3 linked regions of the Struthio camelus genome follow. The protein of the gene in region 3 interacts with the protein of the main gene of each other region in a biochemical or structural test. Links are inferred from orthologs where the notes say so. Each region holds a gene or a part of one and is shown on either strand. Other genes may lie near its edges.

What was found. The genes of interacting proteins can lie anywhere in the genome.
Region 1: the proteins of RXRA (region 3) and TRIM24 form a complex in vitro, tested with the Homo sapiens proteins (3 studies listed by BioGRID). The link is inferred for Struthio camelus from reciprocal best matches to the Homo sapiens genes RXRA and TRIM24.
Region 2: the proteins of RXRA (region 3) and POU2F1 form a complex in vitro, tested with the Homo sapiens proteins (2 studies listed by BioGRID). The link is inferred for Struthio camelus from reciprocal best matches to the Homo sapiens genes RXRA and POU2F1.

What each region holds. Positions count from the first base shown.
Region 1 is NC_090942.1:64,646,454-64,654,085, forward strand, and holds the start of TRIM24 (transcription intermediary factor 1-alpha), read right to left. Parts: upstream 3,018-7,632; 5' UTR 2,943-3,017; coding exon 2,549-2,942; intron 1-2,548. UniProt on the Homo sapiens protein: Transcriptional coactivator that interacts with numerous nuclear receptors and coactivators and modulates the transcription of target genes.
Region 2 is NC_090942.1:105,798,422-105,805,416, forward strand, and holds the start of POU2F1 (POU domain, class 2, transcription factor 1), read right to left. Parts: upstream 3,018-6,995; 5' UTR 2,947-3,017; coding exon 2,883-2,946; intron 1-2,882. UniProt on the Homo sapiens protein: Transcription factor that binds to the octamer motif (5'-ATTTGCAT-3') and activates the promoters of the genes for some small nuclear RNAs (snRNA) and of genes such as those for histone H2B and immunoglobulins.
Region 3 is NC_090961.1:4,501,577-4,509,358, reverse strand, and holds the start of RXRA (retinoic acid receptor RXR-alpha), read left to right. Parts: upstream 1-4,760; 5' UTR 4,761-4,834; coding exon 4,835-4,892; intron 4,893-7,782. UniProt on the Homo sapiens protein: Receptor for retinoic acid that acts as a transcription factor.

The DNA of each region.
Region 1 (7,632 bases), on a different chromosome or scaffold from region 3:
CTATGTTCTTTGGTTTATTCCTCCAGTTTGTTCTTCAAATACCTCACACAGCACATTACCAGAAGAGATGACAGTTTTGCACTGTTTTGTCCCTCCTGCTTTCTGAGAATTTAGGAACTCCTCCCATCGTAACACATTTCTCCTCAGTATAATCAGTTGTAAACAGTGACACCATTTCTTAAATCCTAAACTGAGTTTACAACTGTTTGATATCAGTTGGAAAACAAAACAGCTAGTGCACATTATCAAGTCAAACTTTAGTTAGCTAGCATACAATCCATTGCCATTTCAACAAGACCAAAACAGTGACAGCAGAAGACCTAAGTAATCTGTCAAGGAGAGTGTGAGTTCAATAGAAGTTCCTCCTTTCTACTGGAGGATGAAAAATAGCATGGAAGCATGCAAGTAACTAGCAAAAGATGATGATAGGGTAAAAATAACGTCACTGAACATGTTACATCTGTAAATTTGTAGAACACGGAAGTACATACACTGTATTATTCATTCCCACTGTTCCAACTCATATAGACAGAATAATGAGCGAGGTGGCAATAGTAAATTGGTAGTTCTATTTTTCTCCGTCTCCCCCGCCATCTCTACCATTTGTCCTCTCTTCACTAGATCTTTGAACAACACCAACCTTTTCTTCTTACAATGGATCTTGTTTCTTACCCCAGCTACAGACCTCTAGTTCTGCTATATATAAACAGGACATCTGTGAATTGAGCTATGCCCTTTATGACTCAAAACTCATGAGAAAGTGATTATATGATCTCTGAGCCTACATCACAACAGCAGCTAGCTGCTTCTCTGCCCTCTTTCTCATTTCCAAGCATTTCATCTTCAAATATCCTATCATCGACCACACTTTGTGCTTTTCAGTTCTTCTTAAGCAGGATTTCACAATTCTTTTACTCCTAGACTTACCATGAGCAATACACCTCACATGCCAGCCAAGTTTAAATGCACTGGGTTTGGGTCTTACAGATTTTCCCATTCTGGAATCTCTGGCTAGGCAGTTTGACTACTACACGAACTGCATACTAATATTAAAGACTATTGAGAAGTATTATTTAAAACAAACAAAAAAATTCCTACACAACACAGACATCCATGTAGATAAAGAGGCTCAGCATATCAGGCTAATAAAAAACTAACCAGGCCCGATCTCAGATACTCTGAAGCAAGTTGTCTCTCCCAATTGTCTCAAAGACTCCTTTCTCTCAAGGTATACCTCTATGAATCGCAATGGTTGTAAGCTAGCTAAATAACTTTTGCACGTTCAAGTTGTGGTCCTTCTGGGCAGAACTACTGGCAGCATGGGAAAAGCTTCCAATCTGCAGTTCTGAAATATGCCCAAAGGACAACGGCCAACACTCACCCAAGGATAACTTATCGGGAGTTACTGTTCTCTTCATGTTTGATTTCTCCCTTGACCCTCCCACTATACTTCCCTGTAAGCAAACTACCACTATCCATGAATTCCTAAGGAGAAGCTCGATTTGAATCACTTCTCTTTTCCATGCAAAAAACTCCAGGATCTTCACCCATTTCTGCTAGAGGATACTTGCTTGCACGTTCTTCCAAGACGAACTTGCACTCAACAAAATAAAGCAACTCGCTAAATCAAAGACAGCTAGAAGGGAACATCACAAAAGTAACTTCAGCTTGCAGTAGTTTACCATAGATATCCTCTACAGCAAAATGCTTTTTAAATACATCCACTCAAGCCACTGCTTCAGAACACGTGCTCTCCAAAACTTCCTCAAGGCGTTCTCCTTTCAAAGTGACAGTTAAGCAACTTGTAAATAAATGCATTACCAGCTCTACCCAGTCTACCAATCACGTGGACAGTGTCAAGTGTTAACGCTCGCTCCTGCTTCCTACCGTCTAAGTGTTTGAACCCTCCCTCCGGCTAAGCCCCCTGTAAAAAGGGATGACACCTGCAGGGCGTCCCTCTCGCTGACCTCTGCGGCACCATCCTCCCAAATTACCAGCCCAGAAACATTACTCAAAAAGTCGGTTAGGATCCTGGCTATCAACCGGTACGTTCTTCTGCTCTGCGCTCCCCACAGCATCCCGTATTAAGATTTTTTTTTTCTCTCGGAAACGGGGCGAAGGAAATCCCTCCAGCACGCAGAAGCCCCCGCGGGGGCGGTGGGGGGGGGGGGTAGCGGCGCCCCACAACGGTCCCGCGCTGCGGGGGGCGGGGAGCCCGGCCGCCGCTCCCCTCCACCCACACAGCGAGGTCCTGAGGAAGTGCAGATATATCGCTTTCCCGAGCGAAGAGGGAGATTTAAACACAAAAATTAAAAAGAAAAAAAAAAATCAAAATCCCAAGCGCCCCCACTGGCGCCGCGGGGGGGGGGGGAAGGCTGGGCACAAAGCCCCCCGCGGAGCCCTCCGCGCCCCGGCACCTGCCCGCGCCCGCCACCCCGCCCTTCCCCCCCGCCCCGCGCTGCCCAAACTCCCGTCGCGACAGCGCCTCGCCCTGTCGCGAGGCGCTAACCCCCGCGAGGCCGGGGGCGAGGGCAGATGGGCCACTTACCGGGCGTGCAGCGCAGCGGCGAGGCGGGCGACGAGCCCGGCGAGGAAGGGGGCGCGGGCGGCGGCTCCTTGGGGACGCCGGCGGCCGGGGAGGGGATGGCGGGGGGCAGCATGAGGTAGCGGTCGGGCTGCGGCAGGCAGCGGAGGCAGACGGAGTGGAGGCAGGGCAGCAGCTTGGGCCGCCGGCTCTGGATGGGCTGGCCGCACACGCCGCAAGTGTCCAACAGGTTGAGCGGGGCCGCCTCGCCCCCGCGCTCCGCCGGGCCCTGCCGGCTCTCGGCCTCGTTCTCCCCGCTCAGCGCCGCCGCCCGATCCGCCGGGCAGGGCGCCGCCGCCGCCGCCGCCGCCACCACCACCGCTGCTGCTGCCGCCGCCGCCACCGCCGCCTCTTCCATTGTCCTGCACCAGCCGCCGCCGGAGCGCTGAGGGGAGGCGGGGCGGCCCCGCTGCCCTCGCTGCCGCTGCCTCCCTGCCTGCCCACCCGTCCGCCCGCCCGCGGCGCCGCGCCGACCCCCGCCCCCGAGCGCGGGCCGCGCTGTTTGTGTTCCTAACCCGGGCGAGGGCTGCACCCGCCGCGCAACATGGCCAACGGCCGCCCAGGCCCCGCCCCCTCCCCTCCCGCGCCACCGCCCCGCCTCCCTTTCCCCCCTCCCACCACACCACGGGGCCCCGCCCCCTCCCGCCCGCCCGGCCCGCGGTCTCGGCCCCGCCGCCGCCGCCGCCGCGCCTCGCCACAGCGCCCCGCCCCCTCGGCCCCGCCCCCTGCCGGGCTACGTGCGCCGAGCGCTTCTCCCGCCCCCGCCGAACCCCAACGGACCCGCTCGCCAGGCCCCGCCCCCTGCGCGGACGGTTGGCGCGGCCCTTCCCGCCTTCGCACCCCTGGGCGGCCCTAGGGCTACCCACCTCCCCTGGGGCCTTCTGCCACCCCTCACCCCATCCCCCCACCCCGCCCCGAGCCACACATCCCGCCTTAGGGGCGTCCTGCCCCGCTCAGCGCAAGCTGAGTGAGCTCAGCGAGCCCAAGCCCCCTATCTGCTCACCCCCGACCTCAAATGGCCACCTTGTCCTTTCGGTGAGGGGCCCGGCGCGTGAGGCGTCACACCAGGAGGGACAATCCGGCGCTGCTCCCTCGCCTCACCCTCCGCCGGGCTGCGGTGTGCGTGTCAACACGCGGGCGGCCGAGCCGCTTGGCACCGGGGCCAAATGGGCAGCCATGTCCCCACGTCCTCCAGACTCAATTTGGGGCAGAGGGTTTTGCCCTCCCTTCAGAAGTCACTAAAGAGGTTGTTTTTGTCCCTCATTTTATGTGTGGGTTGTCTGTGTAAATGTTGGCACTTGGTCAGTTTGGCATGTTTTGTCCACACAGCCATTTGCGGGTGTAATAACTCTCTGAAGTTGAGAGGCAATCAGTAAAAAGTAAACTGTAAAATCTGATTTAGACTCAACATTTTATTGAAATAAATGCTCATCCCCCTTCTGCTACTTAAGAAAACATGCAGACGTAAAATAACTGCTTGAGTGTTGGTCACAAGTCAACAGTAAACTGATGCAAACTCTTCGACAGCTCTGCTGTCGGGGGGGCGATGCGTACCAGAAGACGATTAGGAGGAGCAACAAAGTATTCCCTCAGTGCCAGAAGCCCTGGGAAAGCGCGCATAATATGAAGACTCGTGTCAGTGCCAAGACGGACAGGTGCCCGTGAGCCATCAGAATGCAGATATTGAAACTAGGGCAAGGACGTGAGAGAGGGAAGATAATCTTAGTGCAGAACGCGGCTTTTATTAATGTAGCAAAGCAAGTGTAATCAGTAAACACAGCTGTATTCTTACATAATAAGGGTCCGGTATGCAAGAGAGGACGAAATGTGAAATAAATAATCTTGCTTCACCATACGCAAGGTTCGTGTCTTCATCCCCACAAATGGTGCCCAAACAGGGACTTGAAGAGTGAAATCCGGTGGGGAGCCCAGCTGAACTCGATAGAGGCTGCGCAGCATTTGTTACCATTACCTTCACGGAAGGTAAGCAGCTGGGAACATGGGGAATTCTGTATCATCAGAATATAAATCTGTGTACAAGGTTATGCAGCGTTTTTTAGAGAAACGGCGAGTAACTGTAAAGGAAGAAAAAGGAGCTTTCAATTTGGATTGCAGCGCATGTTGACGAAGCTAATACGAGTAATATATATAGTAAGGGGACTTGGGATACCATTGGGGTGTGTTTGTGGCATGCTGCAGCCTCGGATGATCCCGTCGCCCCTTCCTTCTTAACTACTTGGTGACTTGTATTTAATGCATTAGATCAGAATCACCAAGAAAGTATGCAGAAGGCAGCTAAAACGCCTTCTGCTCCTCCTATGCGGAGCAGTGAACCTGCGGAGCCATTGGATCCTGGCCCTGTAGACCCTAAGAAAGAACCAGATCTATTTCCTCCGCAAACTCCTGAACCTGTTATATCAACGCCGGTTGTTACGCCTGTACCTCCAGTAGATCGATGGAAAGAAGCGCGAGCCCAGGCATTGGCGGAAGGAGACCTTGAGTGCCTTCAAGCCGTCACAATGCCTGTCCTCCTGCGCGAAGGTCAAGCCCCCACTTGGGAAGGTTTTCCTTTTGTCTTAATAAAAGAACTTTGAAAAAGTATCAAAGGCTCTGGGCTTGCCTCTCCCTATGCATGGGGCTTGATACAATCGGGTTTTAATAATATGATTTTAACACCTAATGACTGTTGTACGCTGACTCAGCTTTTGTTGACCCCCACGCAGTATATGTTATGGCAGCAGGCATGGCGGAATAATTGTGATCAAGCGGCTGTGACTAATTTGGATCGGCAGCCAGGAGATCCGTTGTATGGAGTAGGCACCGCGGTACTTTTGGGGGAAGGCCCCTATTGGGAACATACAGCGCAGTTATGCATTCTCCGGGGGGCGCTGGCGCAAAGTCAAGAAGAGGCATTAAGAGCATTGTTAAACCTCCCTGATGAAAATGGGAAAGGATCTAAGTCATTTGAGACGATCAAGCAGGGTGCTACTGAAAACTAAAGGCAGTTTGTCAATCGCCTTCATACTGCATTGGAAAGACAAGTGGATAATTCCGAAGCTCGAACAATTCTATTAAAACAAATGGCAGACCGATATTACTCACATCCCGGACTTTGGTGTTTTTTGCTTTGTCCATGTTTCTCTGGATACCTATTCTAATTTACTGTTTGCCAGTGTTCATCGCAGAGAGCGCGCTTGGGGTGTCTGCGCTCACTGGACGCAAGCTTTTGCTTTTACGGGTGTGCCTCATACCATTAAGACTGATAATGGTCCCACATATGTCTCTGTGAAAATTCGTTCTTTTCTTCAAGCCTAGGGAATCCAACATTTAAATGGTATTCCACACAACCCTACCAGGCAAGCTTTAATTGAACGTGCCCATAGTACTTTGAAACAGATGCTCTCTAAACAAAAAGGGGAAACCGAGGGGTATGGGACTCCTCAAGAGAGAGTGGCAAAGGCCTTGTATGTCCTTAACTTTTTGAATCGGGTCCGTGATGAGCAGACCCCTGTTGCCTCCCATCTTAACTCTTTTTCACATCTTCTTCCCTCAGGACAGGCACAAGTTATGATCTGTGATCTGGACTCCGGCCAATGGAAAGGACCTTTTTCTCTGATAACTTGGGGGAGGGGTTATGCTTGTGTTTCTACAGGTACCCAGCCTCGTTGGTTCCCTGCTCGGTGTGTTAAGCCCTATGAAGTACCACGCCAATTTTGTAGCGGAGAATCTGAAGAAGTCGTGGCGTAGTTCTGGGAAATAATATGTTATTTCCTGCAATAATATGCTTTTGTGTTATGTCTGGAGAAACAACGGACGTGGGCAAAGGGATGTGGCCCTCTGTCTCCGAACGACCTGATCTTTGGGTAACTATAGCCAATGCCACAGGACAGGACACTGTTTGCCTGCCTGTGGCTTCGGCTGCTAACCCTTTTCAAACTTGTCTGGTGGGTCTTCCAACAGACGGAAAAGTATATCAAGTTTGTAATGGTACCCCTGCCGCCCTAACGGGCTGTAGTCGGTGGGGTGATGTTTGGGATGGTTGGACGCCCTACCTACCGGTGTTACCTGGGGAACCACAAGAAATAGAGTTATTAGGTTCTGTGCAGATGGATCAATGTATATATTTCAATTATACAGGACAAAATTCCTCTCAAAGGGGAATCACTGTTGTTAATGCTACTTTAGCTGTTTATCGCAATACAACTTTATGGTGTAATGTAACTAGTACAAACATTTCTAAATCCAGGAACGACCCTTTGAAATTACCACAAGGAGTGTTTTTGATCTGCAGCAATCGTGCCTGGCAGGGAATCCCATCTCGCGTCACGGGTGGTCCGTGTACCGTAAGAACATTGGGAATGTATTTGCCCAATTCGACAATGATTCTACAAAAACGACAAAATCGCACTAGACGATCTACACATCTTTTTCAAAAAGATTGTAGAGATTATCTTACTTTCTGGAACCCAGGAGAGATTATTACGGCATCCATTTTTACTCCTGGGGTGGCTGCTGCAAATGCTTTAGCAGCCTTAAATAAATTAGGGTGTTGGCTTGCCAATCAGACTAATAATACTGCAACGGCACTGTCAGGGCTGCTTACCAATGTTGATTCTATAAGACATGCTACATTGCAGAATCGTGCAGCTATAGATTTTTTATTATTGGCGCATGGCCACGGGTGTGAGATTTTGGAAGGAATGTGTTGTATGAATTTGTCAGATCACTCGGAACCAATTCACGACACTATACTGAGGTTGAAAGAGAGCGTAGCGAAGTTGAGGTTAGACGACAATGATTGGCTGGGACGAGTATTCTCAGGATGGGGGATCACAAGGTGGTTTTTAACCATTGTGAAGAGTGGCTTAATTATATTATTGATAATCTTAGTCTGTTTGTGCCTGTTTCCCTGTCTTCTACAGCACGTGCAACGAACGATAGATCGCGCCTTCAATCAACAAGCCTATGCAGTTTTGTTAAAACAAAAAGGGGGAGATGTTGGGGGCGATGTGTACCAGAAGACGATTAGGAGGAGCAACAAAGTGCCA
Region 2 (6,995 bases), on a different chromosome or scaffold from region 3:
TACATTTTTATCATGCTGGATAAAACATCTAGAGTCTCAGCAGTGGTTAAATTGCTGCTATAAAGGAAATTGTCCTCAGATAAATGGTTTCCCTATGAGAAGGTTTCAGTGCTACACCTCACCCCAGGTCAATAAATCAAATTAACTGCACCTTGTCCTCTGGCCAATGACATCATCGGCTTGACCACATCTTGTGAAGCGAGTGCAAAAACATATGCTGTTTAAGGCATGAAATCATATTACTGCTTTTTGTCCAGCCAGCCTTGTGCTGCTGGTCTGTGAAACAGTCAGTCACCTGAACAGTCTCATTACTCTCTTCTACAGATCTTTTCTTATAGTATTCAAGGCCTGTCTTCACCAAGGGTGAAGAAAAAGGAAAAATAATCTGAGTTGTTATTTTTGAAATCAAAATGCTTTTCATTAGCTACAATCTAGTGTTTTGTAACAAATTAAATTTAGAACCAAACTACAAAATATGTTGGCTGCACATGTATATGAACTCTCTACCTAGTCATGCTTCAAAGACGTTTACATGCTAATCTGGCACAGCCACTTTAAAAGTACCCTGCTGTCAGGTCCTTTTTCTCCACAGGGTGGAAACAATGGTCATTAATGAAAAAATCTAGTTTTATCTGAAGGCCATACCTGCATAAATGAATTTTAAAAAATTACTGCCTCTTGCTAAAAAAGTAGTTCATCTGTTTTCTAAGTAGCCTAATATCTACTTTAGAACAGAATTACTCCAGACAATTTAAGAGGATTAATTTCAATTTTCACTTGATGAACTTATGACACAAACACACACACACACAAAAAAAAAAAAAAACTTATCTTGCTTTCTAGACCCTGTACTGCCTAGTAGCATCTTCTGTCATGGAAGCCAAATCTAAATAAAAAAAAAAAACTCAGAATGGTCAAAGATACAAGCAGTGACAAAAGCATCTGACACACAGCACTGTTAAACTGCATCCACACTAAGCAAAAAGGAGAATAAGATTATCTTCAATGTATTCAATTCTGTTTGTGTCCACAGGAAGGAGGAAAGCTGTTTAGATTTTGAGTGTGTCTTCTATAGCTCTCTCAGTGCCAGGAAACGTAAATTAGAAGCAACTCTCCTTTAAGGAAAAGAATCAAGGACAAAGGGACCAAAAATGCCCAAGCCTCTGAAGAGCAGATATGAAAGGAACAGCTTTACAGTCCTGAGTTGCTATAAATTAAAAATAAGCTTCTTATTTAAAAGACATGAGTGTTTGAGAATCTATGAGCAGATCTGATGCTGCTCAAGCCCCAGGAGGGTTTTGTTTTTGCTGGCAGGGGTGGAGTGGGGATGGGGGGGTCATTTTGGTTATTAGTAAATAAATCAAGCGGCAGAGTGAGGCCTAGGCGCCTGCCAGAGGAACCAGGGCCTAGCTCTCCCCCCTCCTCTCCTCACACAGCCTGGGTTTGATCTCGGGGCCCTGTGGGTTGCCAAGAAAATTTAAAAAAAGCAAGAGAGCGAGAAAGAAGAATCATATTGAACCACAAAAGCACATGGGGCGAATGTAAAATATAAACACGGCGTTGGGCTCTGAGTGGCTGTTATTAAAGGTCTGAATTACTAAACATGAGAGGCGGGGAAAGCCAGGCGGCCATTTCAATAATATAAACCTCCCCGAATTAGACATTATTCAAATGAGAAAGAGAAGGAGAGATAGAGAGAGAGAGGGAGAGAGGCAGAAAGAAGCAGGACCCGCACCCCCGTGCCGGCCGGCCGGCCGGCTCTCCCGGCACCCCGGCCGCGGCGCCCGCAGCCCCCGAGAGTCTGAAGGGGCAGAAGGGCAAATACTGGGTGGGCACATCGCGCCCGCCCCACTGCAAACAGCCTGCCTCTCGCCTCGGAGAGGGGGCCACGGAGAAACTCCGCCACCCCGCCAAGAGGAGCCACCCCACGTTGAACCCTACCCTTGGCGGGGGGGGGAGGGGAGGAGAGGAGAGGGGGGAAGCTTTAAATAACATCCAAACCCAGCTCTCTCTCGCCCTACCCCCTCCTTGAGGCCATCCGCACCCATCCACCCCACGCCTGCAGGCCTCAGGCTCTGGGGAAATAACCTCAGCTGGGGGGAAGGGGGGGGGAAACCCTAGCCTTTCCCCCTCACCCCCAAGCCAGGCGCGCACTTCCATCCCTTTCCTCCACGCTGCCCCAGCGGCGGATCCTGCCCCGCTCGGGGGCAGCGGCAGGCGGCCGCCGCCGCCGGCCTTCCCCCCCCCCCCCCCATCCCAAACCCCGCAGCGCGGCCGCCCCAGTCTCTCCCCCCCCCCCCCCCATGAATATGTAAAGCGGCTTTTATTGTGGGCGTGCGGGCCGGCGGTTGGGGTGGGGGGGGGGGAGTCCGGTTGGCCGCCGCCGCCGCCCGCTTTCTGGTGCGGGGCTGCCCGCTGCCCCCTCCTCCCCCCTGCTGCTGCCGCCGCTCTCTCTCTCTCCCTCCCCGCGCCGTCACCTCACCCCCCCCCCCCGACCCCACCGCCTCGGCGCTGCCGTTGCCGCCGCCGCCGCCCGCGCCGCCGCCCCCCAACGGCCCCGCCGCCTGCCCCGGCGCCGGTGCCCGGCCGGGCGGGCGCGAGTGCGAGGGAGGGAGCGTGTGTGAGTATGTGTGTGCCGCTGTGTGTGCGTGTGTGTGTGTGTGTGTCTGTGTGTGTGTGTCTGTGTGCGCGCGTGTGTGTGTGTCTCCCCGCACGGGGAAACTGCTTTCCTTCTTCCCCCCCCCTCCCTCCTTGCTCCCTCCTGTGCCGTTAATTATAATAATCCTGAGTACTAATAAATTATGCTAAGCGGGGCGGGCGGGCGGCGGGGGGGCCGCGTGTGCGAGTATGAATATGAATATGTAAAATGCAGTAATGATTACCTGCCGCTGCCGCCACCGCCGCCGCCGAACTCTCATCTTGACTCGCTGCTCCTCCGTCCGCCATTTTGAATATTTTAACCAAAATCGGCCGCCCGATAAACCCTCCCTCGCTCCCTCCTCCCCTCCCCCTCCCCTCCCCCCGCCGCCGCTCACCCCCCTCCCCCCCGCGCCCCTACCGCGCAGCCGCCAACTCGCCGCGCCGCTGCCTCGCTCTGCGCCTGCGCGCGCCCCTCTCTTCCCCCTCTTTTCTCCTCCTCCTCCTCTCCCGCCCGCCCCAGCCGCTTTCCCGACAGCCGCCGCGCATGCGCCTACCTCGCTCGCCCCCCCCCCCCGGCCCAGCTTCGCGCGCCACCGCGCAGGCGCTGGATTCCCTTCCCTTCACCTTTGGCCCAGGCCTCGTTAACGTGTAAACCGCCGCGCCGCGCGCACCAGCGCTTCAGCCCCCCCCCCCCGCCTCCCCGCGCTTGGGGGGGGGGGGGGAAGGGAAGGGAAGGGGGACACGGCGCCTGCGCACTGGGGCTGGCGGGGGCCGGGCGGGCGGCGAATGGCGCAGAGCGGGGGAGAGGGCGTCGCGGCGCCGCCGGCCGGGGGCACAGCGCGGGCGCCAGGCAGGAGCCGCCCTCCGCAACGGGGAACAACTCCCACCCTGCCTCATCCGTTTTTTATTAACTGTTCGGCCACCGGGCCTTTCGGGAGCCGCACAAACAGTTAATCACGGTAGATAAAAGAGGAGCGGCTGGACGCAAACACGTTCAAATATAAGCGTGAGGCTGCTGGAAACGGCATTTCAAGAAGAGCTGTTCTGGGGAAACACCCGTCATAACTGTTATCTGCCAGACAGGTAGTTCCCCGAGCTGCAAGCAAAATTAATCCCCTGTGAATAAAAAGGAATCGAATACAAAGAAATGAAATAACAGGACCCTCAGTGCTGTGCCGAGGAGGGGTGCGTCAGCCGTGGTCCGTGGTCTGTTACTCCTTCAGAGAAGAGCCATGACAAGGAGATGAGTCTCCTCTTCAGAAGCCCTCCCTGACGCATCCCTAGTCCTGGGCAGCGCAAAGCTCCTGCGGTGTCTTTCTCAAACGAGTATTTTCTCCTCTTCCACGCTCTGCATCAAATTTGACTAACCCAAAAGGAAAGGGGAGTCAGGCTTTGTGCTTCCCCCCAACACACACCTTAAAAGAGTGTACAGCAAACACTAAGAGAGCAGAGGGACCCACAAATAAAATCAGCTTTAGGTTCAAAACTTCCAAATCAGCACAAGCAATAAGCTAAATAGGCTAAAGAAACAAAGTGTTGCTTATACTTGACAAATTAGGCAGAGCAATAATAAAACATGCTAATATTTTTAAGCGTTAGATTGCATAAATATATATTATTCCTGAGCTTGGTAATGTACATTTGTATAATGATAAAAAAAAAAAAGGGAATAGAAGATATAGGATAGTTTTCATTAAGAACTTAGTCTACCGTTTTCCAAGACTCATTAACTCCAATGCGTCAGAGTCCAAGCCAGACTTTCTTGAGGGGCTTAAAACCTTGTGAAATCAGAGAAGTGGCAAGAATCCACCGTTGCTTGCTTTGCTGGAGAAAATTATGACTTGTATCAGAGGCAGTCGCTAGAAGAGCCAAAAAGGAAAGGCTGAGGGAGGGAGACAGCAGGGTTTCTCTGTGCAGGCTCAATCAGAAAGGTAATTTGCACATTTTTATTTAAAAATAATTTTCTCTGATAATGGAGGATTCTTCCATATCATAAAATAACCTCCCAATACTGCAGAAAACACCAGTGGAAATGGACTGTGCTATGAAACAGCAGAGACCTTTCCCTAACACTGTAATTCTATACTTACACATTCATTTGATGATACTCCATGCCAGTAATTAAGCACTTTGTCTTTCAGAAGATCTATTTTTAAACTCACAGAAGTGAAAATGTAAACAACAGCATATTGTCATGCTGCTCTTCTGTTCAGGCGTGATCCTCGCAGGCCAGTTAATCCAGTTTTATGGCCAGGTTATACCAGCCCTGCTGCACGCAGTGGCTGCACCACGACAGATAAAGGTGTAGAGAAAGGGCTAGCTAGATTAAGACTCTGCACAGCTCTAATCCTGCCGACGCTGAATATTCTCCCCCGTATCTTCCCATCTCACCCTTAGACTCGTCTCACTCCTGCAGGCTACTTCCTAGGAACCTCCTCCCTGATAGCAGCCTCTTCTCAGGGAGAATTTGCTCCCACTCGCACACCTGATTTAGTCCTTGCTCTCACTCAGCTTCTGCCCAGTTAGCTGCACCCCACAGCTGCCAAAGAATAGCTCTCTGCAAACCCATGTGTTACCATTTTTTCTGGTAACCAGTAGTTACTAACGGATGCTGTGTTTCTAATGGACTGGCTATAAAGAGGAGAACTCCATCCCATTTCGGCACGTATCTGCTCCCCTCCCTTTTTAAAGATTGCTCTAGATCTACATCTGCATCCTCTTCTCTAGTTTAGTTTGAACATATCTCTGTCTGATGCCTTCCCCAAGGTGTCATACATCCCCATGGCTATATATCCAGGAAAGCCAGCCAAATCATTTGCGATGAATAATTTATCAGATAAATTTTACCTCTACTTCAGTTGTGAATTGTCTGCAAACAGCTTGTGATTTCTACAAACTTCTTCTGGCATCTTATTCATGAGGAGCTTGTTGGGAATATTTGAAATTTGAGCTAATTGGACACAAAAATGATACAAAGCTTAACGTAAGAGAAGCCGAGCACTCTAGCCTCATTTCACAAAAATATTTAGGTTGTAGCTCTGAGGAGTTATTCACCTGCAGACAATGAGGCTGTTCTCATACTTGCAGTTAAGAACATGCTTACGTGCTTTGCTAAAACAGAGCCAAAGCAGTGAGCCCCTTGCAGGACATTGTGTGTTTTTGTTCTCTGAACGGACTTGTCTACCTCGCAGAATCATTTTTCTCAGGGATTTTGCTTTAAAAATATTTTCTGGCACCAAAAAACAGCAGTGTTCAAAATGAACACAACTGTAAAGGGTACAAATTTATTTTGAAATCTTTTAAAGCTCAGCAATATGTCTGTGTCTGTTTTTTTTTTTTTGGTTTTTGTTTTGTTTTGTTTTTTTCAGATATCTCCTAGTTCCTAGCTCCTGCAGAGATCCTTTGTTGTGCTCTACTTTTTGTGCCTATAATACATTTTCTATGTTGGTTACATTGCCTCCTGAATTTTCTCTCCTGCTAGAATTAATTCAGTAGTGTGTTAGAGACAAGGATATTTTTTAAGGTGGGGAGGCAGGGGACAAATGAAATACAAATCACATTATTTTGCAAAAAGCAGATTGGGAAGGAAATTAGCCCTTTCATCACCCAGCTCTATTGTACAGAGATACTAAGAACAAACTATCTGCTCTGTTCCAGTTCCAGTGTGCCACTCACATTTGCATCCCTGATACCGCTTTTTTCACACAATGTCTCTACTATTATATTTTCTTCACATCAGGTTTCTCTCCATCTCAAGGAGGTCCTGTTTCTAGCATCATGTTTGCTTCAGCTTTCCCTTTCCTTTGCTGATCAGATACTTTCTTCATACTGCAATGGAGACTTCTGCTTCAGAGCAGTCTGCCTCTGTTCCTTTCACCTCTAGACTGCTTAGATTGTCTCACCTGCAGTTACATTCTTCTTTTTCTCTCTGGCTGTTTACTATTTTTCGCATGTAATATAAACCCTTACAGAGAGACCAACTGAGGTTACAGTCTCATTTTTTTAGACGCTACAGATACAAATAGCAAAGGACAGTCCATGTCTCAAAAAGCCTGCAATTTCGAGAGATGGCCGACAAAGACTGAGGGAAAGATAGGATTAGGAGCTCCCTGGTCGAGAAGGGGAAGTGACGAAAAGCAATATAAAGATCATGCACAGTTCCTCCAGGGTCACAGTGGAAACATGAGTGGACCTCAGCCTAGGTGTGCTGAGGCTGTGCAGTTCAGCACTTTAACCACAAAGCTCTCTCTCCTTCCTCCCCTTTGTTGTTTTCTTTTTCGCCTCCTGTTCCTGAGCACAGTAAGACAGTCTGTTCCCACCCTCAGCTTGGAACCTCATTCCAGTAATACGTTGTC
Region 3 (7,782 bases):
GACTTTTCTCCTGTAGCCGTGTGGGATGAGGCTGTTGGATCACCCTTAGCCAGGGCTCCAGTCCAGCCTCCCAGAGGTCATCGCTGAGGGAAGTTTACTGGGAACCAGCAGGATTTGCAGCTCTTTCTGGCTTTCCTTTCCTGATCCTTACAGGTTTGGGGCCATGCCAGGGGCAGAGAAGTTCATCCCTATGTTGAAAACACAGATGCCACAGGGCTCTTGCAGGTCAGGGGCTGTGACTCTAGGAAGGTGTTATCTGCATGTTCCCTTGGCCTCTTGTCCTGTCTTCCTCCACGAGGTGCACGTGGAGTGTAGTAATGGTCTGTTCTTGTTTAGGTCTCATCTACAAGCTTCCTTTAGGGTTGAAACTTCCTAGAGTTCATGAGAGGGCATCTGTCCGTTGGATGTAGGTGCCTGTCCCTGTGCCAGGTAGAGGGATGTGACTCTGGAACTGAAGAAGCCAACTGTTGCCCCACCAGCAGCAGCTGTACGGATGCATGGCTAGAGCCGAAGGCCTGGCCCGGGGTTCAGGAGATGTGCTATGCCCCATTTGCACAGCATTTCTGGAGCGCGACAAGACCAGAGGAACACCTCTGTAGGGGAGGAACACCTTGCAACAACCGCTCAGGACTGCTCCTGTCTCAGCATACAGCTCCCCTTGCGAAATGATAGCTAAATCTGACACCATCATCATCTCAGCTCCCTTGTTTAGCCAGGCATTTCGTTTAGAGCCTCCTGGAGGCAGGGAAGCAGTTGACCTGCTAAACTCTTTCCTGTTGCAAGTAGCTAGATTATTATTTGGTTGGCTCTGAGCAGAAGTGCTGGGATTCTTTGACCTGAGCCTTTAAATGAATGGACAGTGTGTTTGTAAGATTAGCAGTGGCAAAGAAATGAAACAAAACCTCCCGTTCAATTAAAAGGCAGGACTGAAGCTCCGTTGCTCAGTTTTCAAGAAGCTCTTAGGCTAAGCATTGATAAAAGCGAACCAAAGCCCAACAAATCAAACATGAGAGGCTGCATTTCACAGAGAGCAAAAAGTGCAGAGCCGTCACCAGCAACGCACCAGATCCCCAGGGAACAGGGATAAGTGGTGCAGGCCGGTATCCCCAGCTGACAGGACTCAAGACAAATCCCAGAGCGGCAGAGAGAAGCTGAGAAGTCATTTTGCCTTCCAGGGGATGTTGGATCATGTTTCACATCAGCCGGTCAGGGGATCAGGGGCTGCATTTCCCAAGCCAAGAAATCCAGTGTGCTGGTGGGAAGGAGAGGGTAGCAGACATTTCTTTAAGCCCACGTGAGTGTCCCACAGCCCAGAATTGGTGGAAGATGCTCCAGTACCAGTAGTCTCTCCCTCTAAGGAGCTTTGTCCAAAGGATGCAGAGGACCCTGAGACTCTCTGGATTTGGTCCAAAGCACAAGAGATGGAAGGGAAGTCTTTATTCCACACCAACCACTACAGGTGCATGGGCCAGCCAGCATGGGCTGCTGCAGAGGCTGTCCTTTGGGACTAGCCCTTGGTTTTGGACTTTACCTTCCCAGCTATTTACCCGAGACTTTATGTGGAGAAAGGGAAGGCTCCTTCCTACCACCGATTTTTAATCTATCACCCCCTGCATCAGCTTGCTCTGAGGTGTCTCTTAACCAGGGTGTTCCCACTGAGTTTAGTGAGAACATTTGAGAAGTCCTTTGAACTTCAGACACAAAGGAGATGGTAGAAACGTTCCCTGGAGCTATTATCAGCTGACGTCTGGGAGCTTGGCAGAGCTCTGGTGTCAACGAGACAAGCAGTTGAAAGAAGAGGAGGTGGGAAGCCCAAGACACCTGCAATTTGGTTGACAAATATTTATTTGGAAGTGACAACTGCTCTTTCGGATGAAACAGAGCTAGCAGAAGAGGGATTGCAAGGGAGTGACAGGGTGTTATTTTTTTTAAAGGTTTACCGTGGGGATGTTGAAACGAACAGCTGATGAACCAAAGGGTGTCGAAACGCGCGTTGACTTCCCGGCGCAGGCTGTGGGGGCACGTGACGTCACGCGACGAAGTCACACGTCCCGTCTCCCCTCATCGCAGCGCGGGGAGGGGCCGCGGGAAGGTTTTGCAAGCAGCTGCCCAGCGTGAAATGAATGAGCAGGAGGCATCTGGGCGTGCTGGGCAAGAGGAGCGCTCGCGGCCGGGAGGCCCTACATTAATCCATCCCTAGGCTCTGGGGTCACAGCTCTTATTGGTAAGATGTGAAGGGATGGATTAGGAGCCAGGGAGGACACAACAGCCCTGCGATCAGGATATGTTATGGATGACAAAAAGGCCAAAGTTTAATTGTTCTCTTAAAAAGGAGAGGAGAAGCGAGGGGAGGGGGAAGTGGCTCGGGGCTGAAGGAGCTCTCTGGCGCGTGGTTTCCAGGTGTAACGCTGATGGGCTGTTTAACCTCGCTGGGTCTTGGGGCTCTGATTGACGATTTCATGGTGCTTTGAGCCGGGGACAGGGTGGATCAGCCGAGGCAGTAACCTTGTCAGCCCTCCCCAGCTGAGCGGTCCTGCTCCTGTGCGGGAAACGGGCCGCGCTGCTTCAGTGTCTCCCCTGGTTGCTCTGGTTTTGCCTCAAGATATTTGGTCTGGAGAAGAGAAGTGGGACATGCTGGATGTCAGACCTGCGTACAAAGGGCTTGTCTGGGCATGGGGGCTGCCGCGGGATGCAGGCAGCAGGGACAAGCGGGCTTGGCTCGCGCGCGGTCCTTCCTGCCCCTCACCTCTTCTTCCACTCCCTCCTTCCTCTTTGAAAGCCTTCCTCAATGTCTAAGCTTGGGATCCACTGCTGTCATTTAAACCTAGAAACAAGGCACAGCCTTTTAGGTGCTTGAAGTCAGGTGCCACGCTGCTGTTAGGATTGGAGTTTTGCATTTCCCCGGGGCGGGCGGGGAGCTGGTGCCCGTGACCTAAGTCCCTGTCCCAAAGGTGCCAGCACCGCTTAAGCTGATGCTGGGTCCTTTACTGCCAATGTATACAAGGTTTAGAGATGACAAATCAGGCCATATCCGTGAGTCAGGCGGTTCTGCGGCAGTGTCTCCCGGCTCTGGGGGACGCGGTTGTTGGCGGTGCTGAGATGCAGCGGGATGCTGGGCAGCTCCCGGCACCGAACCCCCTGGGCTCTGCCTTGTCCGTAGCTCTCCTGCTGCTCAGTTCCTTGCAAGGCGCGTGCTGCTAACGGGCCGGTCCGCGTGGCACGGCAGGACTTTGCTGTGCTGCTGCGGCCCGGGGCGCTCTGCGGGTCTGGGGTTGGCCGTGCCTCGGTCGTGTCTCTCTCCAGGCTGCAAGCCCAGGTGGATGAGTGATGCTGGGAGCTGGTTTTCCTGCTGCGAAGCCTTCCCTGAGGCTGTCGCCTTCGCTGCCCCCGATCCTTGGCCTTTGTGCAGAGGCCTAGGTTGAGCCAAGCGCTTGAGGTCTGAGCTCTCCGGGACGCTGACTGCCGGCAGCAGCTCTGCAGGGGCTCTTGGCGCCCCGTGGTTCTCCCTGTGCCGCCTCGGAGAGAGGAACCGCCTCTTCCCCCTGCCTCCCCTTGCTTGTGTTTGCTGCGGCCACATGTGGAAATGGGTTCAGTGAAATCAAACCTCAGAAAATCTCCCAGCCCAGTCGCCGGCTTTGCAGCCGTGGGGGTGGTCGGAGGAGGTTTTACTGCTCCAGCAACGAGTTAGCTCCGTTGGGGAACCAAGCAGGCAGGCTGTGCAGGAGCAGGAGAGGAGAGGACGTCCCTTCTCCTCCCGTGGGGTCGGCCGCGGCCCCCGCGGGCCCCCCGCTCGCTGGGGAGCTTGCAGAGGCAGGAGGGGGAGGGAGCCTGCAGCCTGGGAGATTAATAATAGAAACGCTGGCATCCGTTTTAGATTAGCGAGAGAAAGCTCAGTACCCGTCTCACCCAGCCTGCAACTTTAATGCTGAGATAATGAGCAATGATATTTATTTGTAAAAGATCTTGAGATAACACCGCCCAGAGCGCAGCCCGTCGCCGACAGGCGCTGGGCTCGTCCCCGCAGCTGCTCTCCGAGCTGTAACCCCGGAGCCGTCTCCTCCGACCGGCTCGCTTTGCGTTACGCGAGCAAGGCTGGAAGCGCGCCTTGGAGCCAGGGCTAAGGTTTGCGAAAGCTGCGGAGTGATTTGGGCGGGCTGAGCCGGGAGGCCTCCTTGCAGAACGGCCTCGAAACGTCCCCCTCCACCTGCAGATGCTGCAAATTGGGCCGCCGGGCAGCGGCGGTGCCAGAGTCGGGCCCCCGCCGGGACGAGCCAGGCCCGCCGGCAGCGTCTGGGGCTGTGAACTTGCACCTGGGGCAAGCTCTGCCCACGAGCTCTGCGCGGCCTCCCCGCTGCTTTCCTCTCTTTCGCCTGTCCGGGGTTCGAAACAGGCCGCGTATGACTCGAGGAGGGCCCTGGCAGGAAGGATGTGGCATTGAGCGAGGAGGTGACACGAAATGAGCCAAGGTGGCGAGGGGAGGGTGGCACCGAGCGCCTGCCGAGGGACGCGGAGCCCCCGCTTCCGTAAACAGCAGACACCCAGCCCACTGCGCCGGCTGAGATTTTGGGGCCGTTTCGGAGAGTTCGGTGGCGGGTAGCCCTTCCCAGTGTCCGTGCAGGCTCCTGCTGGGCTTGCTCTCCTCCCGGCCGGGTCGGTGCCAGGCAGAGCGTGGCAGGGGCAGACCTTGGTCCCCTGCTGTGGCGAGGGAGCCGGGTCTCTCCGGTGTCAGTGCTCCCTCGATACCCCCCCCGCCAAGGTTGTTTTCCGATTCCCTCCCTCCGGCTGCCCAACTGGCTGGGCTGGTCCGAGGGAGCGAAAGGATGCGCACACAGACATGCCCGGCGTTGTGTTGTGCAACCGAGAAGGAGCCAGGCTTAAGTTTTATTTGGCAGGTGGGTGTCCCGTCCTTATTAAACCATCCCCTGGGTAATTACGGGGTTAAGGCCTGATGAGATAATGCTTCATTATATTTGTGCTGCGGGGGGATTAGAGGCAGTGGGATTTCTCAAAGGCTTTATCTCTGCTAAAGTCCTTGAGCTGCCGGCACGTTTGCACGCTGGTAGGAGGGGTGTTGTCAGCCCTCCTGGTAGGGGGGCGTTCGGCGATGGCTTTTGGCTTTTCCCTTGGGTTAGTGGCGGGACTTTGGGAGCGTCGGAGGCTCGGGGCACCTGCTCGCGGTGCAGCAGGCCCGGCGTGAGCTGCCGCAGCGCAGGGGCAGATCCGCTGCCGGCACGTGGCCCGCGTGGCCGCCCGGGTATCGGCACGGCCACGCGGCGCGAGCCCGTCGCGTGCTGCAGGGCCGCTGTCCGTATCGCCGAGACGTCGCTCTCCCCCTCGTTTTCTGCTAGCGAGCCGGTGGCGTGGGGTGAGCCGGTGGCGGGGGCTGCGGCTCCGCGCGCACCTCCCGGCGGGCGCTTGCACGGCGCTGCCGGGAGCGATCTCCTTTTAATGCTGTTCCAGCCCTATTAATCAATGAGTTTCCCTTGCGGGCTCGGAGCCAAAGGGAGGAGAGGAGGTGACACGTACAAATAAACAAGAAGGTGGGTGGTGTGCTCGGCGGCGGGGAGCGGGAGGGCTTCCCAGGTGGCTTGTCCTGTGATTTATGGCCGGGACGATCCGGAGCCGTTAGCGCGGCCTTTGGAAGGTGTTTACTAACAGTGTCGTCTCCTGGCTGTTGCACCAGCGTGGGCTACTCGCGGGGAGTAAAAACATCCTCTGCAAACTGCTTCTGCGCCGAGACCAGCTCCAGGGCTGCTCCTACCCGTCGGGGAGCCCCGTCGGGGACGGGCTGCGGGCGCTGCAGGGACCGATGCTCGGCCCTTTCCCTGTGCCCTAGAGAAGTTCTTACGAAGGGGTTTGGGTTGCTGGAAGCAGCCAAAGGGTAAAACGTACTTTGTTAAACTCTCCGGATGTGCCGGGCTCTCCCGGCTGCGGCCCCCTCCTCGCTGGCACCCCTGGCGAGCCCGCGCGCGGCCGGCCCTGAGCCGGAGCGACGGAGCTGGCACCAGACCCGGGAAGCAGGCAGGCTGGACGCGGGCCAGGCTGCACACTTGATCCAAACACAGCTGGAGCTGATCTGATGAAGTGAGAGGTTAAGAAGAGAGCATCTGTTATCTAAAGGGGACACACAGTGGGAAACTGTAAGCTCTTTATTCCCCCCACCGCACACCCCCTCTGTTCAGTGCACCATCCCTGACTTGATTTCTTTGATTTATTAAGGAAGCCTATGCTTCCGGGGCTGTAATTAAGTGCCACTGTGTGAGCTTTTGATAGCGAGTGAATGATATAATGGCTTGCACATTCGCCGTCTGCTCAAGTGCTTTAGGATCTAGATAACACGAGGAGGGATTTCTTCTGCCTCGCAGTGAGCTGCAGCTGCTCCTGGGGTGAGTCACGGCAGGGTTTTAGCTGCGTGCAGCAGTGTCCACCAGAGGAAATAGAGAAGGATGCAGTAGCCACTTGAAACTGCGGTGGAAACACAGTTCAGGAGGGTATCAGTGACCCACGGTGGAGTTCAGTTAAGAAGGGAGTTCACATCCTTCCTCTTGCAAAGAATATCACGGCATCTCCGCTGGCCAGAGCAGGCTGCATTTGGTGCTGACTCTTGCAGGTGCCCTCATTCCCTCCTGGCCTTGCACGAGGGTAGATAGGGCTTGAGTTCCTGTAGCTTTGGAGAACGTTGTCACTGGGGGTTTGCTAGGGTCCTCCTGCGAGCTCTGGCCCACCTCTGTGCATGGACAGCATCACCGAGCTCTCGTGGCCCGCCTGGCTGAGCCAATAGCGTCCTGCCTGACGCTGCAGGTTTCCCTCTGTGCTCAGAGGAGCTTGCTGGCAATGCGCTGGTGCTGAGCCAAGTGCTGGGGACTGCCGCTGGCTGGGAGGAACCCGTGGAAAGTGTCTAGGTCTCACAGCCACTGGCAGCTGGAGGTGCTGTCAGGATTTAGCTGGAAATATTTCGTCTGCTGCACCCTGCTGCAATCTCTTGCACGCCACCTCAGCCCCCTACGAGAAGACATTTGCACAACCAAAGGGTCCAAGTAAGGGGTATCGTTTCTAGGTGGACAGAGAGAGACCTTCTACAGGCCCACAGTGTTATGGGGATGCAAAGGGAAGGGGCCTGCACTGCCTCTCCAACCAGGAGCCTGGGGTGAGTGGTGCAGTTTTCATTCCCCGTGGGCATCTCTCTCCCGCAGTCCAGGCTGTCCAACTTCAGGGGTCTGTGGCACCCTCAGCACCCAGGCCCGGGAGCTGCGGGCCACATCGGTATCTGATGTCAGTGGGTTTCCCCAGGGCTGAATCCTGCCCTGGGTTCCCAGGCCAACTGCTGAGCATGTCAGTGCCCAAGGAGCTCTGCTCTGACACACTAACCACTCAGTGAGCCTAGTTTTTAGGAAGAAATTATTTTCTTTCTAATATAAGGACCATTTTTGATGCATAAACAGGATTATTTTAATGGCTTGGCCAATGGCCACAGAAACGGAGAGCTGCGGGTTCGCAGCAGGCAGCCGCTGGGCTGCGGGCGCGCGTGCTCTCCCCCTCGGCCTCCCAGTCCGAGCTGTGCTGCCGAGTCTCCCGTCCAGCTCCCGCCAGGGTGTCACCGCTCACGCACCAGCAAGGCCGCTGCTTGCAGCGGTGTGGGTGGGAGGGGGAGGAGGAAGGGGTAAAAAACCCCTACGTGTAAATAAACTTAAAAATAAAAAGTGACAGAGATTATTTGCTGCTTAACGAACTAAAATGTCCAACCTCCCACCGAGCAGCAACATTGTTTATAAACTACAGAAA